Linked DNA regions of Nothobranchius furzeri. The protein of the gene in region 2 purifies or fractionates together with the protein of the main gene of each other region. This does not show direct contact. Links are inferred from orthologs where the notes say so. Each region holds a gene or a part of one and is shown on either strand. Other genes may lie near its edges.

The links.
Region 1: the proteins of ctnna1 (region 2) and B-cadherin purify together in Homo sapiens (affinity purification with western blotting; 10 studies listed by BioGRID and IntAct, with this or other methods). This does not show direct contact. The link is inferred for Nothobranchius furzeri from reciprocal best matches to the Homo sapiens genes CTNNA1 and CDH1.
Region 3: the proteins of ctnna1 (region 2) and tes purify together in Homo sapiens (affinity purification with mass spectrometry; 3 studies listed by BioGRID and IntAct, with this or other methods). This does not show direct contact. The link is inferred for Nothobranchius furzeri from reciprocal best matches to the Homo sapiens genes CTNNA1 and TES.

Annotation. Positions count from the first base shown.
Region 1 is NW_027223037.1:4,230,371-4,235,348, forward strand, and holds part of B-cadherin, read left to right. Parts: intron 1-25; coding exon 26-198; intron 199-3,156; coding exon 3,157-3,285; intron 3,286-3,499; coding exon 3,500-3,685; intron 3,686-3,937; coding exon 3,938-4,182; intron 4,183-4,978.
Region 2 is NC_091748.1:78,693,116-78,698,754, reverse strand, and holds the start of ctnna1 (catenin alpha-1), read left to right. Parts: upstream 1-2,224; coding exon 2,225-4,948; 3' UTR 4,949-5,639. UniProt on the Homo sapiens protein: Associates with the cytoplasmic domain of a variety of cadherins. The association of catenins to cadherins produces a complex which is linked to the actin filament network, and which seems to be of primary importance for cadherins cell-adhesion properties.
Region 3 is NC_091744.1:52,297,628-52,303,231, forward strand, and holds the start of tes (testin), read left to right. Parts: upstream 1-2,076; 5' UTR 2,077-2,238; coding exon 2,239-2,265; intron 2,266-5,604. UniProt on the Homo sapiens protein: Scaffold protein that may play a role in cell adhesion, cell spreading and in the reorganization of the actin cytoskeleton. Plays a role in the regulation of cell proliferation. May act as a tumor suppressor. Inhibits tumor cell growth.

The DNA.
Region 1 (4,978 bases), on a different chromosome or scaffold from region 2:
TCTCCATTTTGTTTCCTTTCTCCAGATTTTGACATCGTTCAGGTCGAAGCCACAGATGCTGATGATCCAAACACTGACAACGCTGATATCCGCTACCGCATCACGAGCCAGGTTCCAGAGGTACCCTACGTTGACATGTTTACCATCAACCCAACAACAGGAGCTATCAGAGTCAATCGTCCAAATCTGGACAGAGAGGTGAGACTTGATAAAACATCTCTAAGAGAAGTTTAGGATTTTTAATTTTATGTAATGGTTACATTTGCAAACAGGACCAGCGATTGAAGTTTTTAGAAGGGAAACATTGAGTTAATATAGGGGTCTGCAACCTGTGGGTCTGGAGCCATGTGCGGCCCTTCAGCCACTGTTGTGTTGGCCAAGAGTGACCTGACCCTGAGTGTTTTATATTTATACTTGGAAAGAGGAATGTTAGCAGTTCTAGTATCTGCTTAGAGCACGTGTCAGACACAAGGCCCGCAGAGCGGTTTTATGTGGCCCACAAGATAAGTATCAAAAATACATTAAAACTGACCCGCTGGCCGATTTTACCACAAAGACTACTACTCCCATGATGCTTTGCGGCGTTAGCGCGGAGCCGAAGCGCCCCCTCCTGTGTTTTTTCCAGCGTCTTGTAATGAGTTAATTTACATGTTATTTAATGAGCCATAAGACATAAGATTACATAATAAATATGAAATCAACCTTATGGATCTGTGAGTACTGTTTAACCAGAAGATTGGAACTTTTTATTGCAGAGATTATGTAACCACTTCGTATTCACTCTGAGACAACAGAAGAGAGTCAAGTTTTAAAAGTTTAAAGATTTATTACTAAACAAATTAGACTCACTTAAACACTAAATGTATGGTGTAACTAAGGTGAAATGAGACAGAGAATGGTGTAGTGTGGAATGTTCAGAACCAGCAAATCTGAAGAAACTATTAGTTCTGGTGGGAAATGAAGGTGATGTCTTCACGCTAAACTTTGTTTAGGAGATTCATAAACACATTCGACGCCATTTGTCGGTCCACATACCCTTAGTGGAAGTCCCCGTCTAGATCAGGAGGTGTAGAAGTTAGGGTTGTCACGGTATGAAAATTTAACTTCACGGTTATTGTGACCAAAATTATCACGGTTTTCGGTATTATCGCGGTATTTTTTAAACTGTGTTGCATATGTTCAGAAAGCATTGATTGTCCTGTTCTACACAAACTGAAATAGTTCTGAAAAGGTTCAACAGTGTTTATTAAACCTAAAATAACACAAAGCCTTAGCAAAAGTGCAACTTTTCACAAGTAAAGGAACAAATTTTTCTGGAACATGTTACAGTAGTCAGTGCAGGTTTAAATTTTACAAATCCAAACATTCGAAACATAAACAATATGTAAACAAATCAAAGAAACACCACTTGTTTTCTCATATACTTGTTTTCTTCATTATCAAAATGAAAATCTAAAACTCCAGTCCACACTTGACTTGAGCACTGTACAAGTCAACCTTAAAAAATATGTATTTAAAATAAATAGCCACTTTAAACAAATTACTAAAATAACTACTACACTATGTAATCAAATCCAAACGTTCAAGTATAAATGGCATTGAATAAGTAAACAAATCAATGACAAAGAACTAATTGTATATTTCTCTTCATCATCAACAAATAAGACGCTTCATCCAGCAACAGGGTGTCCGTGACACGGTTTAAATGCTGGCAGAGGGCGCTGCGGCTGCAGTATATAGTGACTCGTTGTATTCTCCCTCAACCAAAAGTCCTCACGTCATGCATTTAAGCTAAAATGCTAATGTTAACTTACCTTGCACTGGCTGTAGAGACGTGGGTGATGGTCACACACATGTGCCATTAGATTCGAAGTGTTGCTGCCTTTTGCAGACACTTTTCCTGCACGTTCTGCAAACGGGATAGCAGTCTTCCATTAACTGTCCCTCAGCAATTTTCAGAAATCCAAAATATGCCCATACTTCCGATTTAGTCTTCTTTGAGGGCTGATGGATGTCCTGGGCGCTGCCGTCTCCTCCTTCGGCCATTATTTCAGCTTCAAAGTTTTGGTGCCGTTGCAAACTAAAAAGTGCGTGTGCGCGCCGCGGGAAATTCAGCTGAAGCGACGGTGGCTGGTAAGGGTCATCGCGCCGAAACCGCGGCCACGGTAAACCCACCGAGATAATATAGTTTTTTAAAAACTGGACGGTTATTTTTATTGTCAACTTTTTTACCGGGGTTTACCGCTATACCGGTTACCGTGACAACCCTAGTAGAGGTCCAGCTTGACCTTTGTGGAGCCGAAGCCTGTGGAAACAGCCGCGGCAGCCGACCACCAGTCTTGAGATTCTTCCGGGTCACAACAGTTTATCGGCATCTAACAAGACCCAAAACGGGGTCGTGATGGTTCAGCTTTTATTCTGAAAGGAACCGCTGCAGCAGTTGTTTACAGATTGTTTACAGCAACAGATTTTATCCAGCTTGTCGTTGGTTCTTTCGGCTGAAGATGAAAGTTACAGATTGGCCACACCGACAACTTCTCTAGATCGCTTTGAACTGGCGTTAAAGATGACGTGGGCATAGTTTTATTGTGCTATTTAAAAATAAGTTCTGAATGTGAAACGTTACTTGAATAGCAAAGTTTTTAGATGTGTTTTTATTTCAAGATTTCTCGATTTGTGATGCTTTTGGAAACGGGAGATAAGCCCCTGGACTAATGCTCCTCCTGGCTTGGGAAACTTGCTCTCAAATGCTTCCTTTTAGTTATTTAAGTAGCACACACACATTAGGAATGCCTTTGGTGGAATTCAAACAAACCATTTTAATCTAGATTATTCCAAGATTACAGTGAAATTAATCTAGATTAAAAATCTATGCCCACCGCTAGTGAAAATATTTGTTTAAAAATGCTAAAACAAGTGTTTAATGCCCTCCTGCATCATTTTCGTCATTTCTTATGAAAATTTAGGGATAAACTTTAGGTGCTGATGTAGCCTACCAAAGGCCAACTATTTGGTTAATTGTCCACTGTAAGGTCAGAGGCATCCGAGTTTACAGGAGATCCAAGACTTTTATGAAGCAGTCGTTAGTCTGTGACTTTTCTTATAAACTGAAGCGATGGTGTATTACTGCAGATTAACGTCACTTTTATCCAACAGAAATACCCTCAGTACACACTGATGGTACGAGCTGCAGACACACAGGGAGAAGGGTTGTTTACTGAGGCCAAAGTAATACTCAAGGTAACGGACAGCAACGACCTTCCTCCAGTCTTCACACAGTCCTCAGTAAGTACAACACATGTAGACCTACTCGTGCATCAGGATCATTTCTGTAACTTACTAGTGTTGATTTTAACAGCTGACAGGAAGTTTAACTTTGTAAATGAACAGTTTTAGCGTAGCTTGAGCAGTCCAGTTTGTGCTGCTGCAGTCAAAACAATCAAACTACTACACGATGACCCTAAAGTGGAGCTAATCTAGAACCTTCTGAACTTTTCAGTATAAATCATCAGTTGAAGAGAATAAAGTGGATGCTGTGGTGGTTAGAATGTCGGTGACGGACGGAGACGATCCACACACTCAAGCCTGGAACGCCAAGTTCACGATTGTAGACGGAGATGCCGGAGGATTTTTTGCTGTGAAAACGGGAGCCAACAAACAGGAAGGAATTCTTTATACCGTTAAGGTAGGTGCAACAGAGTTCTCCGTAACAAAGTAAAGCTTCACTTAGAGCCAGAACTGCATCTGGTTTGTTGTGTAAAGGCGGAACTTGAAGGGGACACCCAGTGTTGGGTAACCCTGACTCCGACACCGCAGCACAGCCTCAGCAGTTTTTTGTTTTGGCCTCTGAGTCCTGCGGTGGAAACCTTCCATCAGCTGAATGAGCTCCTAGTGTCTTATCTGTTGTGTGGTGTCTCCTCCTCCTCCATTAAACCAGGGTCTGGACTATGAGATGACCAGCATATACACTCTGATGGTTTCAGTGGAGAACGAGGTTCCATTTGTTAATGATGTGCCCACCTCCACTGCAACAGTCACAGTCACGGTCCTCGACATCAACGAACCTCCGATATTCGATCCCACGGAGAAGCATGTGGCCAAACCTGAGAGCCTTCTTCCTGGCAGTGGGGTGACGGTGTACACGGCTTCAGACCCGGACACGGCGCGCAAACAGACGGTCATGTAAGAAATCTGATTAGAATTAACTTGTCTGTATTTAACCTGGTTTCAGCTCAAAACAGAGAGGTGTGTGTATGGTGAAGAGGATTTAAGGTTTGATGAAAACCTTTGTGAACCATAAAGCTTCAGGCTTCCTGCCCTCACCACAATTCACTAACAGAATCATATCTAGAATTTACCAAACATTTCCAGTAAGTTCTGGATAAACCAGAATCACATGAAAATGCAGAAAAGCCCAAAAACTCAGAGGAAGTGGCTGGTGTAAAAATGTCAGCGGAAAATATTTTATTAGTTTGTGTCTGGATGAGTGTCGCCGCCTCAAGCAGGACCTGATCGGAGTGTCTAACGGGAGATCGTTAAAATACTAAACTATAGCTTTACTCCGTTTTAAAACAGAAACAGCGATGCAAATGAAGCACTTTTAGTTGACTAAAGGAAGTCATTTATTTCCCCAGTTAGACAAGTTTGGACATTTTATACGTTTGTGTTAACGGTAATTTTGATACTGGTAATTTTGATGGTGGTAATTTTGATACTGGTAATTTTGATACCGGTAATTTTCTTGTGCCCAGGGGAAAACATGTCCTGAAACGCTTTGTGTGAGTTACTAAAGCTATGAAGGCAAACATGGCGGGTGTAAGGAAAGATTCTGGCTAGTTTCTGAGGTATCCCCTTCCTTATGGGAAGCATTTGGTCTGGGAACTCCCCCATTCAAATAACCCCACCCCCTGAGATTTGTAACCGAGCCAATCAGCGCTGAGCAGCGTACGTCACACACAGCGATGCTGAGTTTCTCATA
Region 2 (5,639 bases):
GGTCTGGTTCACTGGGCTGGGGAGTTCTGAGGATAAACGCTTCTCGTCATCAGCTTTAGGGACAAATAAAAGCTTTTTGTTGAGCTTAGAGGTGAAGAGTGGACCTGTTTACGCATGACCACAACAGTGCATTTGTGTTTTGCTGTGAAAGTACAGTTTAACACTTATTACAATTAAAAAACTAGTTTGTGTGAAGAATATCATTTTTATCTTCTCGTGTGGATAAATGTAAAAAAAGTGTCTGTTGCCTTTTTGTCACCTGTGATCTCTGATTTTCTCAGTTCAGGACTGCAGGTGTCCGGGGTCAGGAGAGGCTCGCCGCTGCAGCTTTCACTGGCTGTCCTCCTGGGAGAGAGGCCTTCTACTGGCATAACGTTAATGTTATTTACTGGTTTGGTGTCTGCATGCTGCAATTGAAACAAATACTAACTGATAACTCATCTGATCATTCATTTTATTATTTACAGATGTTTTTGAACACATTACACAAACATAAAATGAAAATATGGTAAGGGGACAAGACTATTTATAATCAATGACAAGTATTAAAAGATGCAAGGATGGAACATTTATGTACACGTCATGCAGGATGTACTTTGCTAAGTGTCTTCATATGACTCGTCGTGATTTGGCGCTATAAATAAACTTAACTGATTAACCCGTGTGAATTTCCTGGATCATTTCTTTAAACCGAGTGAGCAGGTGGTTGGCGTGCTGCAGAAGGATCCCAGACGTGGATGGAGGGCTGGGCATTTCTGGTTCAAGGGTGGAACATGGTGCAGGGCGGTCTGCAGAGAACGCTTTGGGAGGCATCCTCGCACGACCACTCCATCTTCCATCTACAGGCTGGCTCGATCAACGGCTGTCACATCCCTAAAACATGTTCAGCAAAAATGAAATGAGGAGATGGTTTATGGATTCACCAGTAAAACAATTGTGACTCTTAATTAAAAGGGCAGCATGTTCTTTTCATGGATTCCTACATAAATAAGTTAACAGAAGTCGTGGGTTGGACCGCTGACTGCCTCCATACCAGCCTCTCACCTACAGCATCGCTCGCTCATCCTCCAAGGCCACAATGTCACCAGCGCTGAGGGAAATGTGCAGGATGGTGCATGCTGACATGTATTAACGGGGAGAAAATAGTTTTTATTGTTAAATTTAAAACATAACCTGCTGTAGTGTCACTTTACAGCGGAACTACTGCGTATTTAATGATGTCTCAGTGACCGGTCACTATGTGGTCAAAGTGGACCCTTTCTGAATGTTACACGGCAGAACAACAGTTATTTTCTGTTAAAAGAAAGCAGGGTATAATAAAAACTACAGATGGTTCACAGATTTAGGAAAGATCTAATGCCACTGTCAACTTAAGTCTGTTTTTAAAGCTTTTACACCCACTTTAAAACAGATTAAGGAGTTGTAAAAACCACATGAGAGCAGGTCCTGCTGTAGTTAAAATGTATATAGTTCATAATTATCCACATTTTAATACTCTAGTGGCCTTTACCCACCAACCATCCTGAAACTAACGTCAACATGGAAGTCCTGAAGGCTTGTAGACTAAACTAGATGACTTCACCCAGGTTGTTCACCAGCCTGAGGAACAAACCTGGTGAAGGTAAAGCTGCTGGGAGGGGGGGCTGCTCTATTATCGCTAGCTTTAGCTGTTAGCTGCCGCCACGGTTGCTAGGTAACGGGACCTACAGGCTGCAGTGGAGGGGGAGGCCAGACCGTCCGACCGCCGGTCTTATCGGTCGAGCAAGGACACGTACTCTCGGGCATTCAGGCTCTGGAGTCGGACACACCCAGTTCCAACAGAAATGTTCCAAACAAGGTTCCCAACAGGCTTCCGGGCCTGCTGCAGCCTGTCGCCGCCCCGCTCCGCTGCCAGGAAGTTGGGAAACTCGGTCACCGCCCTGCCCCCACCCCTCCTCCACTCCACTTTAGCCATTGTTGGGCGAGAGTCTGCCTCACCGAAACGGTTCACACCGAAACTATTCCCTCGGTACCGCTCAGAAGACTTTACACAGGCGCTTATTGTTTTGAAGCGTGGAGGTTGTTTTTTCCCCCCGAAAAGAAGCAAAGCCAGCCAAAAGTCGAGAGCTACGTCACACGGAGCCCGAGAAGAGAGGAAAACTTTTCAGGAGAGGATTCCGGACGTTCTCCATTTTGAACTTTTGCACTCCGGTTCGTCTTCAGCGGATTGTGTAAAAACCACACGATGACGAGCGTCAACACTCCCAACATCAACTTTAAATGGGACCCCAAGAGTCTGGAGATCCGGACTCTGGCAGTGGAGAAGCTCCTTCAGCCGCTTGTCGCCCAGGTCACCACTCTGGTCAACTCCAGCAACAAAGGTCCATCTAACAAGAAGAAGGGACGCTCCAAGAAGGCTCATGTTTTGGCTGCTTCAGTGGAGAAGGCCACCCAGAACTTCCTAGAAAAAGGAGAAAAGATTGCAGAAGAAAGTCAGTTCCTCAAGGAAGAGCTGACCGAGGCTGTGGAGGATGTCCGTAACCAAGGTAATTCCATGCGCCAGGCTTCTGGAGAGTTTGTTGAAGACCCCTGCTCCTCTGTGAAGAGGGGCACCATGGTCCGTGCCGCCAGGGCCCTCCTCTCAGCGGTTACACATCTGCTGGTCCTGGCAGACATGTCTGATGTCTACAAACTCCTGGTGCAGCTTAAGCTGGTTGAAGATGGCATGGCTAAAGTGTGCGGCGCTGGAACAGAGCAGGATTTGGGGATCCAGTATAAGGCTTTGATCCCAGAGGTGGACAAGCTGAACCACATGGCTGCTAAGAGGCAGCAGGAGCTAAAGGACGTCCAGCACAAGGACCAAATGGCTGCTGCACGTGGATTGCTCCAAAGGAACGTCCCCTTGCTCTACAAAGCGACCTGTGCCTGCCTGCAGCATCCTGATGTGGCGGCCTACAAGGCTAACCGTGACCTGATCTACAAGCAGCTCCAGCATGCGGTCTCAGGAATCTCCAACGCTGCCCAGGCCACGAGCACCGAAGACTCGGCGCTGAGCCAGCCGGGAGGGGCCGGAGAGCTGGCTTATGCCCTCAACAATTTTGATAAACAAATCATTGTGGACCCCTTGGCATTCAGCGAGGAGCGCTTTCGTCCTTCTCTCGAGGAGCGCCTGGAGAGCATCATCAGCGGAGCTGCACTCATGGCTGACTCTTCCTGCACACGCGATGACCGCAGGGAGCGCATTGTTGCTGAATGCAACTCAGTGCGCCAGGCTCTGCAGGACCTCCTGTCAGAGTACATGGGGAATGCGGGGAGGAAGGAGAGGAGCGACGCTCTGAACACAGCCATCGACAGGATGACGAAGAAGACCAGAGACCTCCGCAGGCAGCTCCGTAAAGCTGTCATGGACCACGTCTCGGACTCGTTCCTGGAGACAAACGTCCCCCTCCTGGTCCTGATCGAAGCCGCGAAGAATGGCAACGAAAAGGAAGTAAAGGAATACGCTCAAGTCTTTCGCGAACACGCCAACAAGCTGATCGAGGTAGCCAACCTGGCGTGCTCCATTTCCAATAATGAAGAGGGGGTTAAACTGGTGCGCATGGCAGCATCCCAGCTGGAAACCCTGTGCCCCCAGGTGATCAACGCAGCGCTGGCCCTTGCTGCCAAGCCCCACAGTAAGGTGGCCCAGGACAACATGGACGCATTCAAAGATCAGTGGGAGAAGCAGGTCCGTGTCCTCACTGATGCTGTTGATGACATAACATCAATCGATGACTTCCTTTGTGTGTCTGAGAACCACATCCTAGAGGACGTGAATAAGTGTGTCATCGCGCTTCAAGAGAAGGATGTTGACGGTCTGGATCGCACCGCCGGCGCTATTCGAGGCCGGGCCGCCAGAGTCGTTCATGTTGTCACTTCTGAGATGGACAACTATGAACCGGGGGTCTACACGGAGAAGGTTCTGGAGGCCACCAAGCTCCTGACCAACACGGTCATGCCACGGTTCACCGAACAAATCGAGTCTGCGGTTGAGGCCCTAAGCACAAACCCCTCTCAGCCTGTGGACGAGAACGAGTTCATCGATGCGTCTCGTCTGGTGTACGACGGCATTCGGGACATACGCAAGGCTATCCTCATGATCAGAACTCCAGAAGAACTGGACGATTCAGACTTTGAGACCGAAGACTTTGACACACGCAGCAAAACCAGCGTGCAGACCGAGGACGACCAGCGCATTGAGGGCCAAAGCGCACGCGCCATCATGGCTCAGCTGCCGCAGGAGCAGAAAGCAAAGATCGCTGAACAGGTGGCTAGCTTCCAGGAGGAGAAGAGCAAGCTGGACGCAGAGGTGTCCAAGTGGGATGACAGCGGCAATGACATCATCGTGTTAGCCAAGCAGATGTGCATGATCATGATGGAGATGACGGACTTCACCAGGGGAAAGGGGCCACTGAAGAACACGTCTGATGTCATCAGTGCTGCCAAAAAAATAGCCGAGACCGGATCAAGAATGGACAAACTGGGCCGCACCATTGCCGACAATTGTCCCGACTCATCCTGCAAGCAGGACCTGCTGGCCTACCTGCAGCGTATCTCCTTGTATTGCCATCAGCTCAACATCTGCAGCAAAGTCAAAGCGGAGGTCCAGAACCTGGGAGGAGAACTGGTCGTCTCTGGGCTGGACAGCGCCATGTCTCTGATTCAGGCTGCAAAGAACCTGATGAACGCCGTGGTGTCCACAGTGAAGGCATCTTACGTGGCTTCCACCAAATACCAGAAGACCAAGGCCATGGAGTCCCTCAACATGCCGGCCATCTCCTGGAAGATGAAAGCTCCCGAGAAGAAGCCTCTGGTTAAGAGAGAGAAGCAGGACGACGGGCAGACCAACAAGGTCAAGAGGTCTTCTCAGAAGAAGCACGTGAACCCTGTGCAGGCTCTGAGCGAGTTCAAAGCCATGGAGAGCATCTAGCTGGAGGAGAACGCACGTTCTTAATCCAGGAGTTTAGGATTGAGGGAGCTTTATTGGTTGGACCAGTTCTTCAGATTAGCTTTAATCTTAGCATCGACCTCGGTAGAAACGGCAGCCAGAGGGGCGAGCAGCCGAACCTTTCCGTAACGTAGACGAGAGGAAAGAGCAGATTTAACAGATTAGTAATTCCAGGAGGCTTTTGATGATTTTCATACGATTTCTCATTTAATTTTGGTCAAAATACGTTTTGAACTTTATACATGAACTATGCAAAATCTCAGCTGCCTTATTCCATGTTGTGATTGTGGACTTTCTGCTGATTTCGACACGGTTCACCAGCAGCTTACTAACGTTTTCGTGTGTGAAATCCTAACGTTCTGCTTCGGGTTCCTGTAAACACTTCCTGTTCTGGAGCACCAGCTCGTCTGTCCTGCTGACGCGAGTATAGGCTTTTGTTTTTGAGCGTCCATCAGACCGAACGCCTTCCGAATTCAGTCATTTCTCTGCTCTTAAACCAGCGTCCTGCTTTTCCTGTGCTTGAGCGCTAAATCATGATTTTATTCCAACCCGTGTCTTTATAACAGATTTTTATCTTTCTCTGTATGTTTTAGTGCAAAGTGTCACACGTGTAGTTGGTTGCTTTAAAGGTGTGCACAGCTCTACAGAAAGGAGTTGGCGTGGTGACATCTGG
Region 3 (5,604 bases), on a different chromosome or scaffold from region 2:
CAGTCACGCCAACACCACTCAAAGAGTCGGTCAGAAGGCCAAGAGAGCGTGTAAACATGTCCGCAGTGTGTCTGCTTCCTTTTTGCTGCAGCTGTAGGCCAGACAGAGTTACTGTGATGGACACGTTAGCAGAGAAAACTCTTAGGCACAAGAGTAACGTTTTATCAGCCAGAGCTCATAAGTCTCGTGGAATTTCACCCAAAAATCCATAAAGTTTAAATTTGTGAATCTACTCCTCTAATATTCAGCCTTGGCCTTCATGCTGCTGAACATACAAAAAAAGATGGATCTATTTATTAAAAGTATTACATATAGAGGCAACTAGCACAAGAACATTTTAAATAAATTTCATTAACACTAAAAATGTTTTTATTTACGGGCACTGTTGGAAAACCCACTTAAAGCCTTCCTGTTCCGACCCAGAGAACTTAAATTTACCTACTAAAACCTCCTTTTCTGCATGTGTCAGTCTGTAGTTGGGTTATGTAACTGAGCTGAACAAACACAAGTAGAGAGTGGCGTGGAAAACAGCTGCAGGATTCCCACTGACTTACCTGGAAAGCCAACAGCGTTCCCGATCCTTATATGTGGGCCCTGGAGAAAACCGGGAGCTTCTAAACTGTCATCGATGAACACATTAATGACGGTTTATAAAGAAAAGAACTTCAGCTTAGATCTGAAACAGCAGTTTTAGGAGAGTAAGGCTTCCTCTTTTGTGCTGAAGTCGAATGTTCGGACCAAAGCGATTGCAGCAGAAGACCGGAGTTTTCAAAACTGATAAGCTGTCCACAAACCTAACTCACAACAAAGATCCAAATCGGGTCTCACAGCTTTATGCTCCACATTGTTCTGTTTAAAACGAGACAGTATACCCTCTTTTCTACTAGGATCACCATGAGCCACAGAAACTTCAGCAGCCAATCAAAATGTGTTACAAACATGCTCACTTATGGATTTTGTTACATGTACAATTGACCCAAATTTGATTCCACAGAACACAGTCTTCTGTTCACTTTAGGATTTTGTTTGGAAACGTCCCCCCCTCCAGTGTAATGAAGCCTTGGAGCACCTCCTGCATCGTTCGTCGTAGCAGCACAGCCACATAGCGCTGACACGCTGGGAGGTGATGACATGGCAGAACACACAGAGCAGACATGGCAGAGAAGCTGTGCTGCTGATAAAAGCAGAAAGTATAACACCATGTAGGAGCAGCCAGGGTGCGACCGTGCCATTTCCTTTGAGGACAGCAGCGGCACTCACAGGAAGCTGTTAACCACCAGTTTCCTGTCAATGAGACAGCCCAGCAGCTGTTTGACAAGAAGTAGAGTAAAAACCACAAACAGCTGTGGTGTGTGGCTTCACATCCCATAATGCCAGTCTGCATTCGTACAGGCCTGTGGGCAATTACTTTCATGCCTTGGTGTTGTAGACTCATCCCTTAGCATGCCTTTATCTACTAATGACTAACAGTCGGCTACTGCAGTTTGTGTCCATTGTTGAGTTCAGGACACGCCCCTTCTGCTCGCTGATTGGCTGCCTGACAAGTTCACAGAAGAAAAATTTGTCAGGGCGGAAGCACCCCCCACATCTCCCAGTGAACGGGACGGGGGAGAGAGGTGTCAAGATGGAAAAAGGATACACACAGAACCGGAAATCAACTCAATGATGCCTTCACAATCAAACACACACACACACACACACACACACACACACACACACACACACACACAAACACACGCACGCACACACACACACACACACACACACACACACACACACACACACACACACACACAAACCCTGACCATAACCAGTGTATTTCTAATCTGAACTGTAACAAAAACTCTGTTCACATCTCATGTGTAAACCTCACCCCTAAGCTTAAAACAGGAAGTCCACCGGGTTTTGGTCATCATGACATCATCTGTTTGTAATTATCTTTCATTTGTTTCATGATATAGTTTAGTTTCTGATTGATGGGCATTTTATGATCTGATGAATGACTTTAATGAAAAGGTATGGGTGATTTATGAAGCGTGCTATAGTTTTATCTTGAAAGGTTTGACCGGAAACTGCACACCTGAGCGGGCTTGACTTATTGAGCGTGCAGTTCAGCGGAGGACAGGACCAGCGAAAGGAGGATTGTTCTTGTCTTTATTCCCTGACTTTTTCCAGTGCTAGTTTTTGACTGCCGCTTCAGAACAAGTCCGACTTAACTTCTTGTGAACAACCGTCACGATGGAAATCGAGAAGGAAGTGAAGAAGGTAAGCTGAAGCTTTCTCCTGAGCTGACCCCCTCGGTCGGTGACCAGGGAACGCCCTGAGGTGTGCCGAGCGCGTGCAGGTGGCGAGATAACCCACAGATACCTGCCCAGCTGATTACTTCAGCAGGGGTCCAGATTTCTACTGATTTATTAAAACCTCAGTTCAAATATTCATTCATATGTTCTCATGCGTGTTCTCTGCCTTTTGATTGAGCTAGTTTTGTTAGGAATCAGACCTAAGACGTTTCATGCTTTTTTGTTGACCCACGCACTTTCTGTTCGCGGCTTGCGTTACTTACTTCCCTTTTTAATTCGAAGGAAGTCGGCTATAAAACAGAAGAGTCGATTTCTTAACCAAACTCACCACTGTGACCTCTTCCCGTTATTAATGAACGGCAGAAGCTGTTAAAATAACTCGAGTAGTTTTGGGTTATTATTATTGTAAAAGTTTAACGCTTCTGGCACGTGTTGCTTGTAGCGTTACCACAGATGATGTTTGTAGTTGGCTACTATAGATTTGATCAGATGGTAACGCAGATTTACTCTGTTCAACACACTAAAACCTACTTTAAGGTCTGCTTGTTCCTGCAGAGGTAAAACATTTTGCTGCAAGCTTCTGCAACACAGATGCCCATTCCCGCCACTCTGATAAAAAAAAAGTCAAAACATTTAATCAGAGTGGTGAAAATGCGCTTCCATACTGGTAATTAATTAAGCTTTAAATAAAAATCAGTTTGACTGGTACCTGTAACACAGGGTAACAAACCAAAACAGAGCATGAGGCAGCAAGATGTTGCAGAGGGAAGAGGCAGAGAAAAAAATAAAAATACTCAAAACAAAATGGCCAGGGCTTCACGTCAAATATATTTTCTACAATTTAAAAAATATTTTTAAATAATTATTGATATCAATCAATATAAAAAATAAATTATACTATTATTCTGTATCGTCCAGCCCTAGTCCAGGATCAGATGCATGTCTGATGAGCAGTCGGAGCAGAAGCGTCGCTCCCTTTAGCCACCGGCCGTCCTGCTGCAGAACAACCACTCATGACAGTAACTCTGACTCCGTAATTCTGAGTCAGTGTTACATGGTAGAGCGTTAAACCACCAAATAGTTCCCGAGCGCAGCCACTGCTGCAGCTTACGGCTCCCCTCCATGGGGATGGGTCAAACGCAGAGATGAATTTCACCAGTGTGTGATGATGGCTGTGGGACTTTAACTTTATGGATGCAGGTAGTTGCCTTGGATATTTACAGATTCAGATATGCAGCTTCTGATGATGCATATGATGAAGGTGTCTAAACACACTGTGTGTGTGTGTGTGTGTGTGTGTGTGTGTGTGTGTGTGTGTGTGTGTGTGTGTGTGTGTGTGTGTGTGTGTCCTTTGACAGTAACCAGCTGTTGACTTGGTCTTGGTCCAGAGGGCCCAAACCTTTAGCTTTAGTGTTGGTTTATGTAACGAGTCAGTTAGACTAAAACTGAAAAACATTTTTACTATAGAGGTTAACAAAATGTGTCCTCAAAACAAATCCCAAATACCAATACTGATGTGCTGTTGGTGACAAATAGGGCTGAAGAGTGCAGCATCACTGATGTTAGCTGATGTGTGGGGGGTGTTTTCATTGTCTGGGTGCTACTGGATATTTTCTGGAGTCTCTGCAGCAGAAGCTAACGTCAGACATCAACACACTACAGACAGACATCCTCGTCTGCATTCCTCCCTTCTGAGTGTGTGTTGGGTCACAAGTATGCTCCCTGACAGCAGGGGTGCTGGCTGGAATCTTTGAGCCTCGTTGACCATATATGGTCACAGCCAGTGGAGATAGAATAAAGTTTACACAGGCGTTGTGTAGCACAGACAATAGCAAACCAATCCTAAAGTTAAAGCCAAGTGATCAAAGTTGTGGTCCTCATGAGGCAACGGTTGTGAAACTCTTAAAGAGAAGGAGAAATCTTTTCTGCTGAGATCACAGAACATCTGAGCCAGATTAGAGGACTTCAGGGATGTGTCAAAACGTGCGTGTTCTCTCTTGTGCACATGTTGTGTGATCCCTGTTAGAGCCTGGGGTGTGAACAGGGTGCTGCATGCTATATGCTGTTTGCAAAAGTTGGCCTTTTGATTTTACTAGTTTTGTTAGGAATCATACCTAGAAACTAAGATGGTTTCCATGTCAGTGCTGAGTAATTGACCTGATTTTATTTTTTGAAGTGTGTGTGGGGGGGGGGGGGGGTGGTGGTAGGATTAGGGATGGTGCCTTTCACATTTGAATCAATTTGGTACCGATTCCCAGTACCTAGAAATCATATGAGTACTTACTGGTACTTTTGAGTGTGTATTAAATGAACTAATTGTCTTTTAAATATGAAAACCTTCAACCACAACTGTTTCTAAATGATGCAACAATTGAAACCCACCTCCATATGCTCCTAATCCTATTCTATGCCCTCTGGAATAACTATGATGAAATGAAACTAAAGCAAACTTCAGTACCATCCAGCTGTTGAATACTGTGGTGTTTCACAAACTAAAGCCAGCTCCATGTACTCATATTGCTCTCCTGTCCCTTCTGGACAGACTGTGTGATGGTTGGCTCCTTGTAGTATTAAAAACTGCAAATTAAACTGAAGCAAACATCTTTGCAGTGAACTCAACTAAGCTAAACCATCAAGCTAATGGAGCAGATTAAGACGATGACGACTCATTTAGATCAATGTCAATATCAGCAACACCCAGTCACCCATCGCATTTAGTAAAGCGAAGCCAAACTGTATGGCGTCCCTCTGCCTACTCGGAAGTCAAAATGTCCAAGTACCAAGGAGAGAGCGAACACACCATTCTCTGCTAGCAACGAAAGCTCAAATATCAAGCTAATACCATCTTAAACTATTTATAGTATGTAGCAGAGCAAGACAATGATGGCTAACTTAGAAAGTTGTCAATGTTGTCATCATCACCCAGTCACCATCACATTTAGTGAAGTAGACCCAAACTTTAGAGTGCGTTCTTTCTACCATGCTGCTTGCTCTGTTTACAACTCGCCCGCAGCGACTGACGACATGACGCACTGTCCTTGATCGGTACCACGGAATTCGGTCGGTGCCTTAAAAGTACCGAATACGGTGCCCATCCGTAGGGAGGATGAGAAGCTGTAGCTGACCTGATTTGGCCCTCATTAGTCAGAAGGTCTGGTTGTTTAATGACATCATGTGGTTGAATGCTGCTGCTGGCAGCTCAACTGCCTCGTTCACTGGTTAGTGATGGAAGTCATCTGGACAGACTAAATGTTATTTCAGTGTAAAACACCCCCTTAAAGGACAACCACTAAAATCACACGGT